2 linked regions of the Notamacropus eugenii genome follow. The protein of the gene in region 1 purifies or fractionates together with the protein of each later gene. This does not show direct contact. Links are inferred from orthologs where the notes say so. Each region holds a gene or a part of one and is shown in the gene's direction. Other genes may lie near its edges.

Region 1 (7,924 bases):
AACAGTCACTTAGTAAATGATTAAGATACCAATTGAATGACTAAGATGCAAATTCAACATTTTTTTTTTTGCAGTTAACTAATCATTAGCAATTCTGATACATGTGTAATAAGGAATAAGTTCACAAGGCCTCTAAAGGTTTTCCCCATGTGGAGATGCTGGGAAACCTGCTTCCTGCTTCTAGGAGAGTCATGATGACATAGAAATGAAGATCCTGAAAGAGACTGTGGAGTGTGTCAGGACATTGAATAACTGGTTCCAATCAGCTTTGTTTGTCCTTCATTCCAGAAGAGGACCATGACATCAGAGGTAATGTCTTTGAGTTGCAAGTGAATTGGATTTAAGGGAAGGAGGGCTGTGCAAAGTCACCAGCCTTACTTTCTCCTCCAGAGTCATGTGGGTCAAGTGGCAAGATACAGATCAGGATGACTGGAGATGGTTCTCCATCAGCTTATTGCCCGAGAAAGAGGAACCTCTTTGGTTTACTGAGGAAGCATTCAAAAGGGCGTGGCAGTGTCAGTCGTGTTCTTAGCGTCAGAGCTCTAGGAGGTCTGGAGGATGACACCATCCTGGTATTGCATTCCAGAGTATCCTTCAGGACCCCAGCCTCATGACAGCTGTGACAAGTATTCATCTGGCAATGCTGCCACCTTTGCACACAGTGGTGGGACCAACATGATGTAGGAACTGAGCTAAGTATGAGCTGCTCTCAGACTTAGTCTCCCTATACGCCTACTCTCCTTGAGACTGAAGGAGTATAGGGAAGAGTATACCTCTAAGATACCAGGGAAAGTGTTGGTTCTTGTTGCACTTTCAAAGTAAATATTCCTTTGTAAAAGCTAATTGATGTTAAGTGGGGCACTATTTATTGGTATCTAACAATTGTGGGGAGAGAGGAGGAGGAATACAGTAGAGTGGGTTTTGCTTCTGGTAGTAGAGAAGCTATGACTGCAAATCCACTGCCTGGCTTTGGGAAATGATCCAGAACACACAAGTTACATATATATGAAATGCTATATAAACGTTAGCTATTATTATTTTTATTGTTGATGTGGTATGGAAACTGAAAAAGTCTGAGGACTACTTTTACTGAAAAGCACTGTACTTAGCAGATTTGATCAAATAAAAATATTCAAGTTAAGCGTAGGTAGCAGAACACTTTTTTTAGCTTGATTAAGAGTAGCAACTCCAAGGGCAGAATACATGGAAAATAATTAGATAATATGGGAGAAGACTACTCTGTTCTGTTTTAGGCTAATTTTACCCTACCCTATTTTACAAATGGGGCTTGATCATTTCTCCTTACTCATTAACTCTGTTTCTCTTCTACCACTGTGCTTTTCAGTTAACAGTTCAATTTAACAATTTAACAAACATTGACTAGATTAAACTGATCCACTACTTTCATTTGACTACCAGAATGTTCTCACTGTAACATTCCCACCTCCCTCCCTGCCCCCCCATTCTTAGGCCTTTTTACCTCCATCAACACTCTTTGCCTTCCCCACAGGGGTGTATTGCTGCTCGTTCCTGGCCTTTCCTATTTTTTCTCCCTGTGGAAACCTATCCATATCATCCCTTCAATCTCTTACTGAAAGGCAGCTTGGGAGAGTAGATGGAGAACCAGTTTCAGAATCAAGAAGGCCTAGGTTCAAGTTCTTTCTCTGATGAATTCCACTTAACTTTTCAGTGCCCCAGGCAATTGCCTAAACTAGTCATTTGCAGAAGGTGTTGGTGTGCAATACAACTTAAACCTGTCATAAGGAGTTCCCTTAACTAATAAAAACATATTACTTACACACACACACACACACACACACACACACACACTTTAAGGCTCTTACTATGAATGTGCAAGACATACTTCTGTTCTCCTAGCTGCAAATGTTAGTGCCCTCCTTCCCAAGCCACCCTGTACTTAATAATTTATATGTAAGTAAATATAGTTATATTTTGCAGTTAGATACTTTTGTATTTATTAATTTTATATTTATATATATATATGTATACATACATACATACACATATATATTTGGCACAGTGCCTGGCACATAGGAGGCACTTAATAAATGTTGGATTGGATTAGATTGGATACATACTTGGACTCTTTCGTTAGAATGTTAGCTCCTTGTGTGTAATTGTTTGTACTTTATACTGATATCCCAAAACATCTAGCATAGTAGATCTTAATACTTGTTGACTGATGGAATTGGACAACTGAAACTGTCTCCTAATTTCCTGCCTCTCCCATTTATCAATGGGGGAAGTGAAAGGGTGGGGAAAGTCATTCTTCTTTCAAAACAATATTTTAATTTTTCCAATTACATGTAAAAAAAGATCTTAACATTCATTTTAAACCATTCTCTACCTTAACAACCTCACACAGTTCCATAATTACAATTATCACTCTTAAGCAGATGACTCACAAATCTCTGTTTTGACCCTCAATCTCTCCTCTAAACTTGTCTCAAATTTTAAACAGATCTTGGACATTTGTACCTGAATATCTCATCTAAGCCCAAAACTCAATATATTTGAAACTAAACCCATCTGCCCTTCTATACCCTACCCAAAATCCTGCCCTTCCTTCTAGCTTCCCCATTTCTATTGATTGTACCACCAACCTCCTCAGTATCATCCTTGATTCATTTACTTTGATTCTCCTCCATGCAATAAATTCCCAAGTCTTGTTCATTCAGTCTCTGTATTATCTCTTGCATCTGTACATCCCTTTCCAGTTTCACTGCTATCACCACAACTCAGACCTGTACTATTGTCCTTGCCTATGGTTTTGCCTTGAGAAACATCATAGCACAATAATTCTAGGGCAGACCTTAGAGTCAAGGAGACATGGATTCAAATTCTGTCCCTGGCACAGACATGTGCCTCAGTGCTTCCAAGTAGCTAAGACTATAAATTAATGTAGAGAGAACTTCCTTTGGGCTAGAGAATTTCCTATACAGGTCTGAACCAACCCCTCCCCCCCCAAATTCCGCTTTTCTCATTCTTACTTTTGTTATATTTATGTACCTTATACCCTCTTGCAGGAACTGTCTTTTTCATTTTTGATGGCCCATTGTATTTTACCTGGTATTAATCAATCTTTACTGAGTACCTTCCATGCTCCAGGCACTGTGCTAAGTGCTGGGGATATGAAAAGAAGCAAAAGATAGTCCCAGACCTCAAGGAGGTCACCATCTGATAAATTGTGAGACAGTAGTAGATGCTTCAGAAAATATTTCTTGGATTGAATATACACTTTTTAGTATATGTCTTATCTCCCTATTTGTACGGACACATTTTCCTATAATAACTACCTGTTGCTAGTCTCATGCATAAGGAGCAAGGTACAGTGGCTCACATCATAAGACTTGCTGGGTATGTTCAAAAGCATCTGGTCAGCTTGATATTCTCCTTGTCATTAAAAGTCACTTAGAAGTCTTCTGTAGATACCCAAACCTCAGCTAGTGTGAAACCTGTGGTCTGTATTAAACCCGTTGCATATGAACCATGAGTCACTTGCAGGTACTGCACTACTGACAATGAACCACATCTTCTCAAGAGCCGCTGTACTTAATACTAGAGAAAAGCAATCTGTTACTCTGTTGATTATCTAGGGCAGCTAGGTGGTGTAGTGGATAGAGCACTGGGCCTGGAATCAGGAAGACCTGAGCTCAAATACAGCCTCACACTGCTAGTTGTGAGACCCTGGGAAAATCACTTAACCCCTGCTTGTCTCAGTTCCTCAACTGTAAAATGGGGACACACCTGAAAAGGAAATGGCAAACCACTCCAGTATCTTTGCCAAGAAAATCCCACGGACAAGGGCATAGGGACGCAGAGTTGAACAAGATTGAAGGACTTTACCCACAAAAGTGGTCATCCAGCAAAAGAGTGAAATACTAGTTGTTGCCACTAGATGGCTTTCTCCTTGAGTCCTGTATCCTTGTCAGTTTCTTTCTGCTAGATCTAATAAGGTACAATTTCCCAAAAGTTTTACTGTATGGAGTCTAGCCGCCACTTAACCTGATTACACCTAGGCTGATCCCACATCACCAGCGGCCCCTCTTCTGCTGACAGTGCTGAGAGGTTCAAAACCTACGCTAGCCAGATTTGGAATCTTAACTAGGCGACAATGTTACTATTGTTTTGTTACTATCTTACGGTTCAAAGTATCAAAAACATCAGCTGACCTCACTCCCCCTCCAGAGGTCAGTGGGCACTCTCCCCTCCAAAGACAATTCCCCACATTCTTAAGAGACAGGTTTTCCAGCAGATAGCCAGATAGAGCACCACCCTCAGAATCAGGAAGACCTGGGTTCCAATCCTACCTCAGACACTTCCTAGCTGTGTGGAGCAAGGCACTTAAGCTCGCTAAGTCTCAGTTTCTTCATCTGTAAAATGAACATAATAAAAATAGCCCCTACATTAGGGTTATTGTAAAGTACATCATCACATGGGATCTTTAAGGCATGTAAAGAACTTTGAAAGTCTTAAATCAAGGAGTAAAAAAGAATACTACTGACCTAGTACCTAGTGGATAAGGCCCTGGATTTGGAGTCAGATGGAGCTGGGTTCCAACTTTGCCTCAGCAGCATGACGCTTAACTTCAGTCTGCCTCGGTTTCCTCGTATTTTTACAGGGCTATAACAGCACCTCCTTCACTGGGCTGCTGTGAACGTAAAATGAGATATTTGTGAAGCTCTTTGAAAACCTTGATTAGGTTTATAAATACTGGCTGTTATTAGTAGTTGTTCTATGACCTTGGGCAAGTCGCTTAAGCTCAGTTTCCCCAAGTGCAAAGTGAGGGGGCTCCCGGCTCGGGAGTCTGATAAAGAGCATTGTACGCTCCTCGACCCACCGACTCCCTCCCTCCCTCCCTCAGGCCCCGCCTTCCTTCCGCCTTCCCTCAGGCCCCGCCTCCCACCTTCTCTCAGGTCCCGCCCTCCTTCCGTCAGGCCCCGCCTTCCTTCCTCCTTCCGTCAGGTCCCGCCCTCCTTCCCTCAGGCCCTGCCTTCCTCCTCTCAGGGCTCTTCCCTCCACAGACGGCCGCGTGAGCTCGTCGCGCTCCTGTGTCGTCATCATCTCGCGCCGCCGCTGCCGGCTTTACCTCGGAAGCCGCGTGCAGCTTCTGGTCTCTGGAGCCAGTCGGGCTCCCAGAGGCGGGCTTGACCCTTAGCTCGTCTGTCTTCCGGCGTGGTGGTCCAGGGCCGGCGTCCGTGGCGTTTGGGCTGTCCAGAATGGCGATGCTGGCTGAACGTGAGTTCCCCCTGTTCGGGGGGCGCCCGGGGGGGTTGAGCAGACGAGGGCTCGAAGTCGCGCCGAAGTCCTGGTGTCCATGCAGGGGCGCCCGTGGAAGGCTCCCCGGTGAATCCCGGCCCCGCAGTGGTCACGTCACCTTCCCGTGCCTCCTGGTGGGCTCTGTCACTCCCGTGGCCTCTATCCGGCCTACGTCCGAGGCACCTAGGGGATGGAGCGCTGGACCTGGAGTCAGGTGACCTGCCTCACTCTTAGCAGCCGGCCGAGCCTGGGCAGATCAGCCTCAGTTCTCCCACCTGTCCAGTGGGACCAGCCACGGCGCTAAACACGGGGACAGCCCCTGACCCGCTCACGGTAGGGTGGGGGGAACCGCATGCGGACGTTTATGTCCGAACAAGCCGTAGACAGGATACACTGGAGCTGATCCACGGAGGGAAGGCTCTAGAATTGAGGGGGATCGGAAAGGTGTCCTGTGGAAGGCGGGCGTTGAGCTGGTGCTCGAAGGGAGCGCGCAGGTGGAGGTGAGGAGATGCAGGTCCCCCACGTGGGGGTCTGCCCGTGAAAACATCCGGAGGTGGGAGACGGGAGCGTCTCCTTGAAGGACACTGGATTGCAGAGTATGTGTTTGGAGATGTCGGAAGCTTGGGAGGGGCAGGGGCAGCTTCCTGGAGGTGTTAAGTTGTCTCTGGAGTTTATGGAAGTGAGAAGATGGAATGGTTCGCACGGTGCTTTAGGGAGATGGCTTTGACAGCTGTCAGTTATCCTCATCTGGGTGTAGAGTGGGGTGGAGGTGGGCACCACAAGTGAAGGAGCAGCCCCGACGTCAGAGCTGTGGGGTTAAACAGGATGCAGTGAAGTGTCTTACACCGAAAATTAAAAACGATTTGTAAGTCAGCAAGCATTTAAGCACTTACTCTGTGCCAGACACTGTGCTAGGACTGGGAATTTAAATAAAGGAAAAGGAAAACCGCACCTTGTACTCAAGGAACTTACATTCTACTGGGGGAAGACCACCCATAAAAGGAGGGGGGGGGTTTCTCAGGCTTGGGAAACAACCGTCCAGAGTGGGCATTGGGAAATACTGCCACCAGGTGGCAGTGGTGTCTTTGATTTGGCAAAGAATACCCTCACCATGCACTTAAAATCAATCAATCAATTAAGCATCTATTTTGCGCTGGGCACTGTGTGGAGGAATATAGTGCTGAAATTGCCATTCTGAACTTGTAAAACAGCTACAAATATCACGTGATAGTTTCAAGTTGAATTTCTAATTTTTAAGAACATTCAACTTATATTTGACTGTTGCCAGTGTATTAAGGTAGATCTAGAAAACTCAGAAAATAATTCTTAGTTCTGAATTTAGAAAATAAGGAATGGCAGGATAGAGCATAAGAAATTAGGTAACATTTAATGAGGCTATTTCAAAGTGATAAATGTGTAGAACAAGCTTTTAAGGAAAAACAATTTGGAGAACTTGTTCCTCTGTTACTCAACCTAAACTGTTACTAATTCTTCATCCCTTTACTTTTTCTTTTGAAGTCTTCAGAGAGGAAAGTGTTGGCTTTTTTCTTTCACATACCTGACTTGATGTGCCTTTGACTTCTCCCATCTCTGAAGTTACTATACCACTTTGCCTCTTGTACCTTAGTGGCCCTCAGAAGAAAAAGGGGTCAAAGGCCACTCACCAGTTTGCCTAGTGCTGGTTCCACTTGCCTTGGGTTGTGTATAAATAGATACCTCTGTGTGGAAGTATTTTTGTCCTGCTTCAATGCATACATACTTAGCTAGAATATTGGACCTCCTGCCAAATGGACTGAATTGGGAAGATTTTGTATAATAGTATTTAACACTTATGTTACATAATTACAGTTACTGTTGATATTTATATAGCACTTCAAGATTTGTAAAGGGCTTTACTCATAGTGCCTCATTTTCACAACTGCACAGTGCAGTTATTATTAGCATCTTCATTTTACATATTTGGAAACCAAGGTCCAGAGATTTGTTCATGGTTATGCAACTAGTTTCAGAGGAAGAATATGAACCCCATCTTCCTGACTCTATGTCCAAGACTGTCACTACAGTGTGCCATGTTATACTTTTATGTTTCAAGGTGGTCTTATATTCCCAATGTGCCAGGCAGGGCCAGCATTAACATTGTTTATACATGAGGAAACTGAAACATAGACAGGAACAGATATTTCTAGCTTCACTCAGCTGCTGTGAAGCTAGAAATGATGGTCAGGTATCCTGAAACTCCCCCGTTCAATCCCACTGTGTTCACCTTTGCATATAACTTTTACTTGATAGTGTTGTTAGAAATTTTAAAGAAAATATGGTTCCAGCCTCAGTAAAGTTTAGTGCTTTATGATTAGCAAAAAAAAAATCTAGATTGTTCTAACATTTAGTATTTTTTTAGTCCCATTTTTAGTGGCTGTGTAGCATCTCACTCATCTGGAACAGCCATTTGGCAGCCTTTCCTATTCAAAATACGGGCAAGAGATGGGAAGTATGCAAAGAAAAAGTCCTCTGAAGGGTTGTAATTGATTTTTTAAAAGTTCATGCATTGAAAGCTTATATACTTTATTGATAGGGGAGTGACTTAAGCCCTTATTCAGAGGCTACTTTTATTTTACATCTAGTTTTAACAAGTTTAGTTATTTAA
Region 2 (7,765 bases), on another chromosome or scaffold:
ATTGTAAGACTTTACATTTTATCCATTTAGAATTTCCCTTCATTAGATTCAGCCCAATGTTCTATAATGTCAAATTCTTTTTTGGATCCTGACTCAGTCATACAGTGTGCTAGCTATTGCTCTGCATTTGGTGTAATCTGCAAATTTGAAAAGGATTCTGTTTCCGATTTTATTCATGTACTAATAAAAATCTTAGCACAGAATCCAGCATAAATTCTTGGAGCACTCCAGTGGGAACCTCCTTCCAAGTTGACATTGAACCATTAATGACCACTCTTTGAGTCTGGCCATTTAATCAGTTCTCAGTCCATCTAATTGTACTATCATCTGGGTATCAAGCATGTGACCTATAGCCCTTGCAGCAACATGCCAATATGGCAGAAACCAAATTAAAACGTAATGAGGAAATACTTTACAAAATAAGTAAAAAATACAGTAGAATATAGATAATATTATTTTGTGGTTTTCTAAATCAATATGTGGGCAGGGATCCTTATGCACATTTTAGTGACCCCACTTTTATTTGAATTCGACACCAGTGAAGTGGCTTTCCTTTCTGTTTTTTCCCCCACAAGAATAGCATGACGTACTCTATCCTAACAACTATTTGGCTAAAATTCAGGTAAGCTCTATCTGTGGCATTTCCAAGATCTTCCAGTTTAGTAGAAATGGGAACTAAAGTTAGACAGGCATTACTTGTTCCTGAGGAAGTGTAATGATAATTTGAATTGGAAAATCTTTCCTATTCATTAATAGGCCCATTAAGTCCCATGGAGCTTGTGGTGGGAGGAGTTTGCTGAATGGAGTGGAACAAGAAGAGGGGGAGCTAGAGTAGAGCTGAGAGGAAGTAAGTCTTGAGAGTCACTGCTAGGAAGGATGCTGGCTCCTGGGTAGCATGAGTGATTTTGTGATTGTGAGTTTGTTTGAGAGCCTGCTTGTGATGAGTATAATGGACCTGGTTTGTGGGAAGCCTAGCAGGGGGATGGTTTGGGGATGGTGTTGTCCTCTACATTGTTATTGTGTATAAATTTTCATTGCTGTGATGGATTTGGGTCTGAATAAATGTTTTGTTTCTGCTTTCCACCTAGATAGTCTGTGGTATTTTGCTATTCTGAATTGCACTATGATATTCATGGCTGCCCTGGGTGCTGTGAATATTACATTTGCACTACAAATGGTCATGGGGATGGGATAATGAAATATCTGACCTCAATTTGGAGGCAAAAAGGCAGAGGAGTCAGAGGAACAAATGGACATCCCAGGGTGGGAGGATTTTTGTTCTGCCCCAGAAAGAGAATGTGCTAAGGGCACAGGACTTTGTGAAAACTGGGAACTGAGGCTACAGAAAGGAGAACCCAGAGAGTTGGAAATATATTTCCAGGGAATAACAAAGGCACCAGGGAAAGAAATGGCAGGGTTATGTAGGAGAGGCAGGGCTTTGCTAAGCTCTGGATGAAGGACTCCAGAAGATGGCTGGAACCTTATGTGCTAGGGTGTAGTGAGGGCTAGGGTGTAGTGAGGGCCAGGGAGACTCAGAAAAGAAAAAACCATTTTTGCCTCGAATTGTATGTATTAGAGACACTCTTGACACTAAGGTATCAAGTAAAATGTATTGCTGCAGAGTTCAGAGGAATTGATCATTTTGGCCAAAGTGGGCCCCCACCCTCTTTTCAGGAGGAGAGAGCACTGAATACAGAAGTGAAATGAACTATATACCATTAGTTCAAGACAAATACTCCCACCAGGAGATGGATGGGTCCATCCTCCCTTAGGTCAACCTCTTCTCTGCATGTCCATTATGTAACCCCCTTTAGTATGATTCCCCCTCCCAAACATGCTCTAACATGGGACCCATGATCAGAAAATGGAGGGATAATTTTATGCAGGGTGTGTCTGCTTAAGCATATGCATGAAGTTCATTAAGCAAATGCAGTAAAGAAAAGCCTTCTCTAGGTAACTCTAGGTCATTTTTCTTGGCTAGTTCCAGCTAGCTGTAGATTTGGTTCCTTTATCAAAAACTTTGTAATTTTCTGAAGGCCACTGTCCGATGGTCTTCTTATTATCTTATTCTCAATGACTTCATCAATTAACAATAACTTGTTGTGGAAACTTAACTTTCGCTGTCTCTCACAGTATGCAAATGCTGTGAGATGGGCTGCTGGAGGAGAAGGCTCAGATGGAAAGGGAATTGGCTGGAGAGAATTTTTGTCCAGCAGTGTTCGGGCTGCCCTTGGGAGAGGAAGCTGGAGAGTTTCCAGTGGTAGAAGAGAAGGTTGTTGTTGGTTTGTCTCACAGGAGGCGAAAAGTTAACAATAGGAAAGTGAAGGCAGCCCTTGTGCAGGCTGGATTTGATTCGGGCTTAAACACAGGCCAGGAGGATGTGTGGAAGGAGAATGAAACAAGTGAGGTGGCTGAAGTTGGGCCAGTATTAAGAAGGAAGCAGGGGAATCAGGGTTCCTCCACAATTACCTCCCCAAAGGTAGGTAGGAGGTAACTAAGGATTTTTCTCAGCAGGACGTCACAGATGTTTTGAGTTGGTTCACCCAAAAGATGAGAGAATCATTGGTACTTTGGATGGTGAGAATTAGTGAAAAAGATAGGTTTTCTGGAGACAGAGGAATGAATAGCCAGTGGATTCAAGGTCAGAGAGGATTGATAAGGAAAGAGTTTTGTTGCTCTGTTGAGAGCAGGAGTAGATTTTGGAAGAACAGATGGCATTCCAACTAATGAACTATATAAAATGTATCGTAGATAGAAGATTGGTTTTAGACTGAGCAAGGAGGTAGGAGCTGCCCCTGCAGATCATTCTGAAACATTGTATCCAGGTTCATCACACCTGTAGGGAGAATGGGGAGTTGGCCGGGTCCCAGCTCAGATTGAAGAGGGTGTACCTCTAGCCAGAATGATGACCCCGGGAATGCAAATTGGAAAACAGTAAGCAATAGTGAATGAGGCTATGATAATGGGTTCATGGACTCTAGTTTGAGCATAAGCACCCCCTTCATTCCCTCTCAGCAAATGCGGCCCAAAATCTTGGGGTAAGGGGCAAAAGTCTCTTCTTTCATAGCTACTTCCTGCTGAGATTGGCCATAAAGCTATCCCTGCCCCAAGCAGTCTCATTCTAGGGGCTGGCTAGAGACAGTAGGATAGGTGAATTTGTGCTTCATATACCTGTCAGAAGAGCTGAGCTCAGGATGGAGCTCCAAAGCAGAGGGGATTAACCACTCAAGACACAGTCTTTAGAAATCTGGTTACAAGGGTGCTGTGCCAGGGATGGTGTAGCAGAGTAGATGGTAACATAACCAAAATCAATAATGGCATTCAAGTGATGTGGAAATTATCTTGGGAATTCATAACCAACTGTAGGCTGGGCTAGAACACTTCTGACGTACTTTCCATATCAAATGTCTAGAATTCTTATTCAAATTTTCCCCTAGGAAAACATGGAGAATTTCAGAATACTTATTTCATTTTGAAAGTTCAAGAAATGCATCATATCTTGGTATTCATATCATTTCATATGCATACATTGTTTCTCCCCAGTGCATGGTATATTCCCTCAACAAAAGGGATAAATAAGTTTTTCAATTTTTTAGGTACTTAGTATAGTGTTCTGCTACCAGTTAGTGCTCAATAAATGTTTAAATTCATTCCATTAGTTATTTCATTATAAACAAAGCTTCTTATCCTGGAAAGAGAGACTAGTTTTCCACACTGACCACATAAGCTGGGCTGGTGGAATAGATAGGAGCAAAGAGAATGGGTGTGTCTATCTGGGTCTGAACAGTTGTTTGTCCTTAGAAGAAGACCAATGACATCATGGGGTGCTGTTTTGACTCCCGGTGTGAACTGAATTTAAGTGAGACAGGTTGCAAAGACAACAGCCTCGCTGTCTCTTCCAGTCATCAAAGTCCAGTGGCAAGAGGAAAGTTAAGATGACTGGAGATGGATGCAGTGGATAATCTTGATTCTTTGATACTTGAGCAATCTAAGCACCTGGTTCAGCTATCTTCATGGCCCTTGGACCAAATTGTTCTCATGGGCCCCTTCAGCCCTGGGAAGTCTTCATGTGCATGGGGTAGACACCCGCCCCTCCCAACTCACCAACCAGCTTGAGGCCTGTCACTTATCCTCAACTTGGTTTAGCCCATCTGCTGATGTGGCTGCTGAGCATGCTACAGCTTCTTGGAGATGCAGGTGAGAGTTGGTGAAGGTGGACATCAAACGTGAAGGAGCAGCCCAGAAAAGTCATCCGTCAGCCCTCACACCGAGGTGCTGGTCCTTCCTGAGCGCAGGTTTTACAAAGATAGTAAAGAATCAAGATAGAGGGAATATCAGCTGTAACAGGCAACATTTACGCCTGTTACAAAGTCACAGTAGGAAAGAGAATGTTGCAGAGGGAACTTTTTTCAGGTTTGGGATGGGCTAGGTGGAGCTTGGTGGCTCCTTTGAAGATTGAGATTCTTCGATTTTATCCCAGTGCTTAGCACAAAATGAGTGGCACATAGTAGGTGCTTAATAGATAGGTACTTAGTAGGTACTTAAGGACTCCCCCCTCCCCCAACATTGAATTAACAATGTTGAATTATCAAATATGGCTTCTCCCAGAAAGTGTAAATGAAAATTAACAATTGGGCTCCAGAATCCTTCCTGACACCTTCTAGTCTTTTCCCAGGCGCTGTTGTCCCTTTAAGAGCCCAGACGCCCCAAAGCCCCCTCCCCTTTTCCTCTTCCGCCTGCCTCTTCTCCCCGCCCCGCCCCGCTGCGGGCTGCAGCCCAGCTCGGGCTCCCCCGGGTTACCCTCCTCGCCCGGCCTCGCCGCTCCCAGCCGCCCCTTGGTCTGCCTCCGCGGCGGGCTCCTAGCCTGCTCTCTGGGTGGCAGCTGCAGCGCAGGCAGGTGCAGCAGCGGGAGGAGCGGCGGCGCCCACCCTCCCGGGCCCTCGCGCACCATGGCTTCCCGGCCCCCGGCCCCGCGCTCCTTGCTGGCCTCGGCGGCCTTCCGCCCGGTGCGCGAGGTGCTGCGGGACAGCTACCGGGATGTGCTGGGGCTGGCGGAGTTCGTGCAGCGCCTCGAGGACGAGGCGCGGACCGCGCGGGCTCCGGGGGACCGGCCGGACCAGCAGGTAGCCGTGCGGCTCCTGCGCAGCGGGGATCCCGAGGTCTTCCAGGTTTTTGTGTCCGGCTGTGTGGTGTGTGTGCCGTGGGGTGCCCGGCCCCTCCCCAGGCCTCTCACCTTCCGGCAGGTAATGCATGCATCCTTGCCAGGAGCCCTGGGGTGGGAGTATCGGACCGAAACTCGGGGCTTCCTCAGTGGCTGGCGGTTGGCGGGGGGCCTGCTCCTTTCTACCCACTCGACCAAGAGAGTATTTGGATTAAATACTCCAATTGTTTCAGGGAAGCAAGTCATTTAACACCTTGGGCTGCTCGGACTCTACCTTTCATTTCTCCATAGGTAATTTCCTGTTCCACTCCCCACTGAAGCATCTTCAGGCTGTCCTTAAGCTCCACATACCTTCCCTGCGGAAGTCACCTCTTACTTTCCACCTCTCTCTGTGATGAGATGAGCCCTTCCTGCCAAAGCCAGCCGTTCTACCTGTGCTCTTAGATTCCATTCCCCGGGTTTTTCTCTTATAGATTGCACCTTCCACCCCCTCCCCCCCATTCCTTAACCTTCAATCTCTCCCTATCTGTTGATTCCTTCCCTGTTGCTTTCAAATGTGCCCAAGGTTCCCCAATTCTTAAAGAACTCTCTGAACCTTATTATCTCCTCTAGCATTTAATTGCTCTATATCTCCTCTCCCGTTCTCAGCTAGACTCTTGGAAAAATCCTTCTACAGTCTTTTCTCATTCTCTTCTCGACCTTTGTAGTATGGCCTTGGATCCCATCACAGGGACTGAAATTGCTTTCTCTAAAGTTACCAGTGATCTCTTAATGACCAAATCTGGGGGCTTTCTTGACTCATCTTTTTTGACCTGTGTCATTGGACACTGTTGACTATCCTCCCGTCCCCAATTTTTGTAAAAAACACTCTGTCCTGGTTTTCCTCTTAACCTAACCACCATTCCTTCTCAGGATGCTTTGCTGGTTCTTCATCCTGGGCACGCCCCCTGTGTGGGTGTCTTCCAGAGCCATATTATGGGCCCTCTTCTCTCATTGGGTGACTCCATCATCTAGTAAAACGAAATATTCAAGTCCCAGCGTTTCTGTTGAATTCCATCGCTCCTTGCCTATTGGATGTTTCAGATTGGACGTCCCAGAGACATCTCAAGCTCATATCCAAAACAGAACTCATTACCTCTTCCCCAAAACCCACTCCTATTTCTGTTGAGGATACTACTATTCTTCTAGCATGTCAGGTTTATAACCTTAGCACCACACCACATATCCAATCACTTTCTAGGTCCCACCATTTCTACCTTTACAACCTCCTTCCATTTCTATTTACAAAGTTATCACTTCCTCCCTGAACCATTATGATAGCCTTATCTTTTATCTCCCTCCCTCATGTTTCTTTCCCTTTGCATGCGTTTTCCACACAGTCACCACAAAAGTGATTTTTTTATAAGCTCAGATCTGATCTTGGCACTCTCCTATTCAGTAAACTCTACGGGCTCTCTGGTACTTCCACCTTCCATTCTAGAACATGTAAACTCTTTTATGGAGCTTTTTAAGGCCTTTCACAACCTGGCCCCATCCTCATTATGCATTACTCCATTTGCCTGACTTTAGGGTGAAGCTTAACTAGACTTTTCTCTATTGTTTACACAAACATTCCATTTTCCTTCTCTGGGACTTTGAATTGGCCATTATCTTTCATGTCTGGAATGCACTCCTTCCTTACCTTTGTCTTGTACCATCCCTTATTTTTTTCGCAATGTGCCTTGAGCAGCATCCTGTTCAGGAAATCTTTCTGCTTTCTCCCAGCTGCTAATTTGTGAACTCATTCCCAAACTACCTTTTGTTTAATTGCTTTCTATTTATCGATATACTTAAATGTATAGGTTGTCTTACTCCCTGTAGAATACAAGGGAAAGGATTATGTCTCTCCATTAGAATGTGAGACCCTTGAAAGCAGGCTTTATATTTTGCCTTTCTATCCCCAGCATTGGCACATGGTTGGTGCCTTTAAAATGGTTGTTGATTGACTTATATTTTCTTTAATCTACTTTCAAGGGGATATGGTTCTAGTTTCTTCTAGCCTGGTGCCCTGCATATGGAAGAAACTTTAAAATGTTGTTGAATGTAGTTTTGAATTGGCTCTCTGCTTTGAGTAACATTGAGATGAATTTTGGTCCCAGGATCACCTTATGAATATTATTTAGAAAGTTGGAAAAAACTGCCATCAGCAATTTTGAATTTTTTTCTTTCTTTAGCTGTCTTCCCAGAAGGAAGTAGTTGCTAGAATTGTCCAGAGGATTTGTGAAAAGAAAAAAAAGAATATTCTGGCTTTTGGATACACCCTTTTAGAGGAAAATAGAATGCCATTGCCAGTTAAGTTTACCACAAACGTCTACAACTATCACCCTAACACAGTAACAGAAACAATTAGTGTCAGTGCCTTGTGGGAGATACTTTTAAGCAGGATAGGAGATGATGTGATGATGTATATGTTAGAGCACTGTTCCATTTTCATGATGGTACCCCCAACCTGCTCTTACCAGATCTCTGGGCTACCTATCTATGAACTCAATTTAAAAGATTCTGTCTCTCCATCTGGGTTCTTGCGAAAAAAATATCCGAAGGAGGAACCAAATGTCTCACTTG

Evidence for each region. Proteins that work in one complex are often made in the same cells at the same time.
Region 2: the proteins of PINX1 (region 1) and TERT purify together in Homo sapiens (co-immunoprecipitation; 3 studies listed by BioGRID and IntAct, with this or other methods). This does not show direct contact. The link is inferred for Notamacropus eugenii from reciprocal best matches to the Homo sapiens genes PINX1 and TERT.

What each region holds. Positions count from the first base shown.
Region 1 is NC_092872.1:610,371,760-610,379,683, reverse strand, and holds the start of PINX1 (PIN2/TERF1-interacting telomerase inhibitor 1), read left to right. Parts: upstream 1-4,923; 5' UTR 4,924-5,240; coding exon 5,241-5,259; intron 5,260-7,924. UniProt on the Homo sapiens protein: Microtubule-binding protein essential for faithful chromosome segregation. Mediates TRF1 and TERT accumulation in nucleolus and enhances TRF1 binding to telomeres. Inhibits telomerase activity. May inhibit cell proliferation and act as tumor suppressor.
Region 2 is NC_092875.1:345,754,071-345,761,835, reverse strand, and holds the start of TERT (telomerase reverse transcriptase), read left to right. Parts: upstream 1-4,725; 5' UTR 4,726-4,949; coding exon 4,950-5,243; intron 5,244-7,374; coding exon 7,375-7,765. UniProt on the Homo sapiens protein: Telomerase is a ribonucleoprotein enzyme essential for the replication of chromosome termini in most eukaryotes. Active in progenitor and cancer cells. Inactive, or very low activity, in normal somatic cells.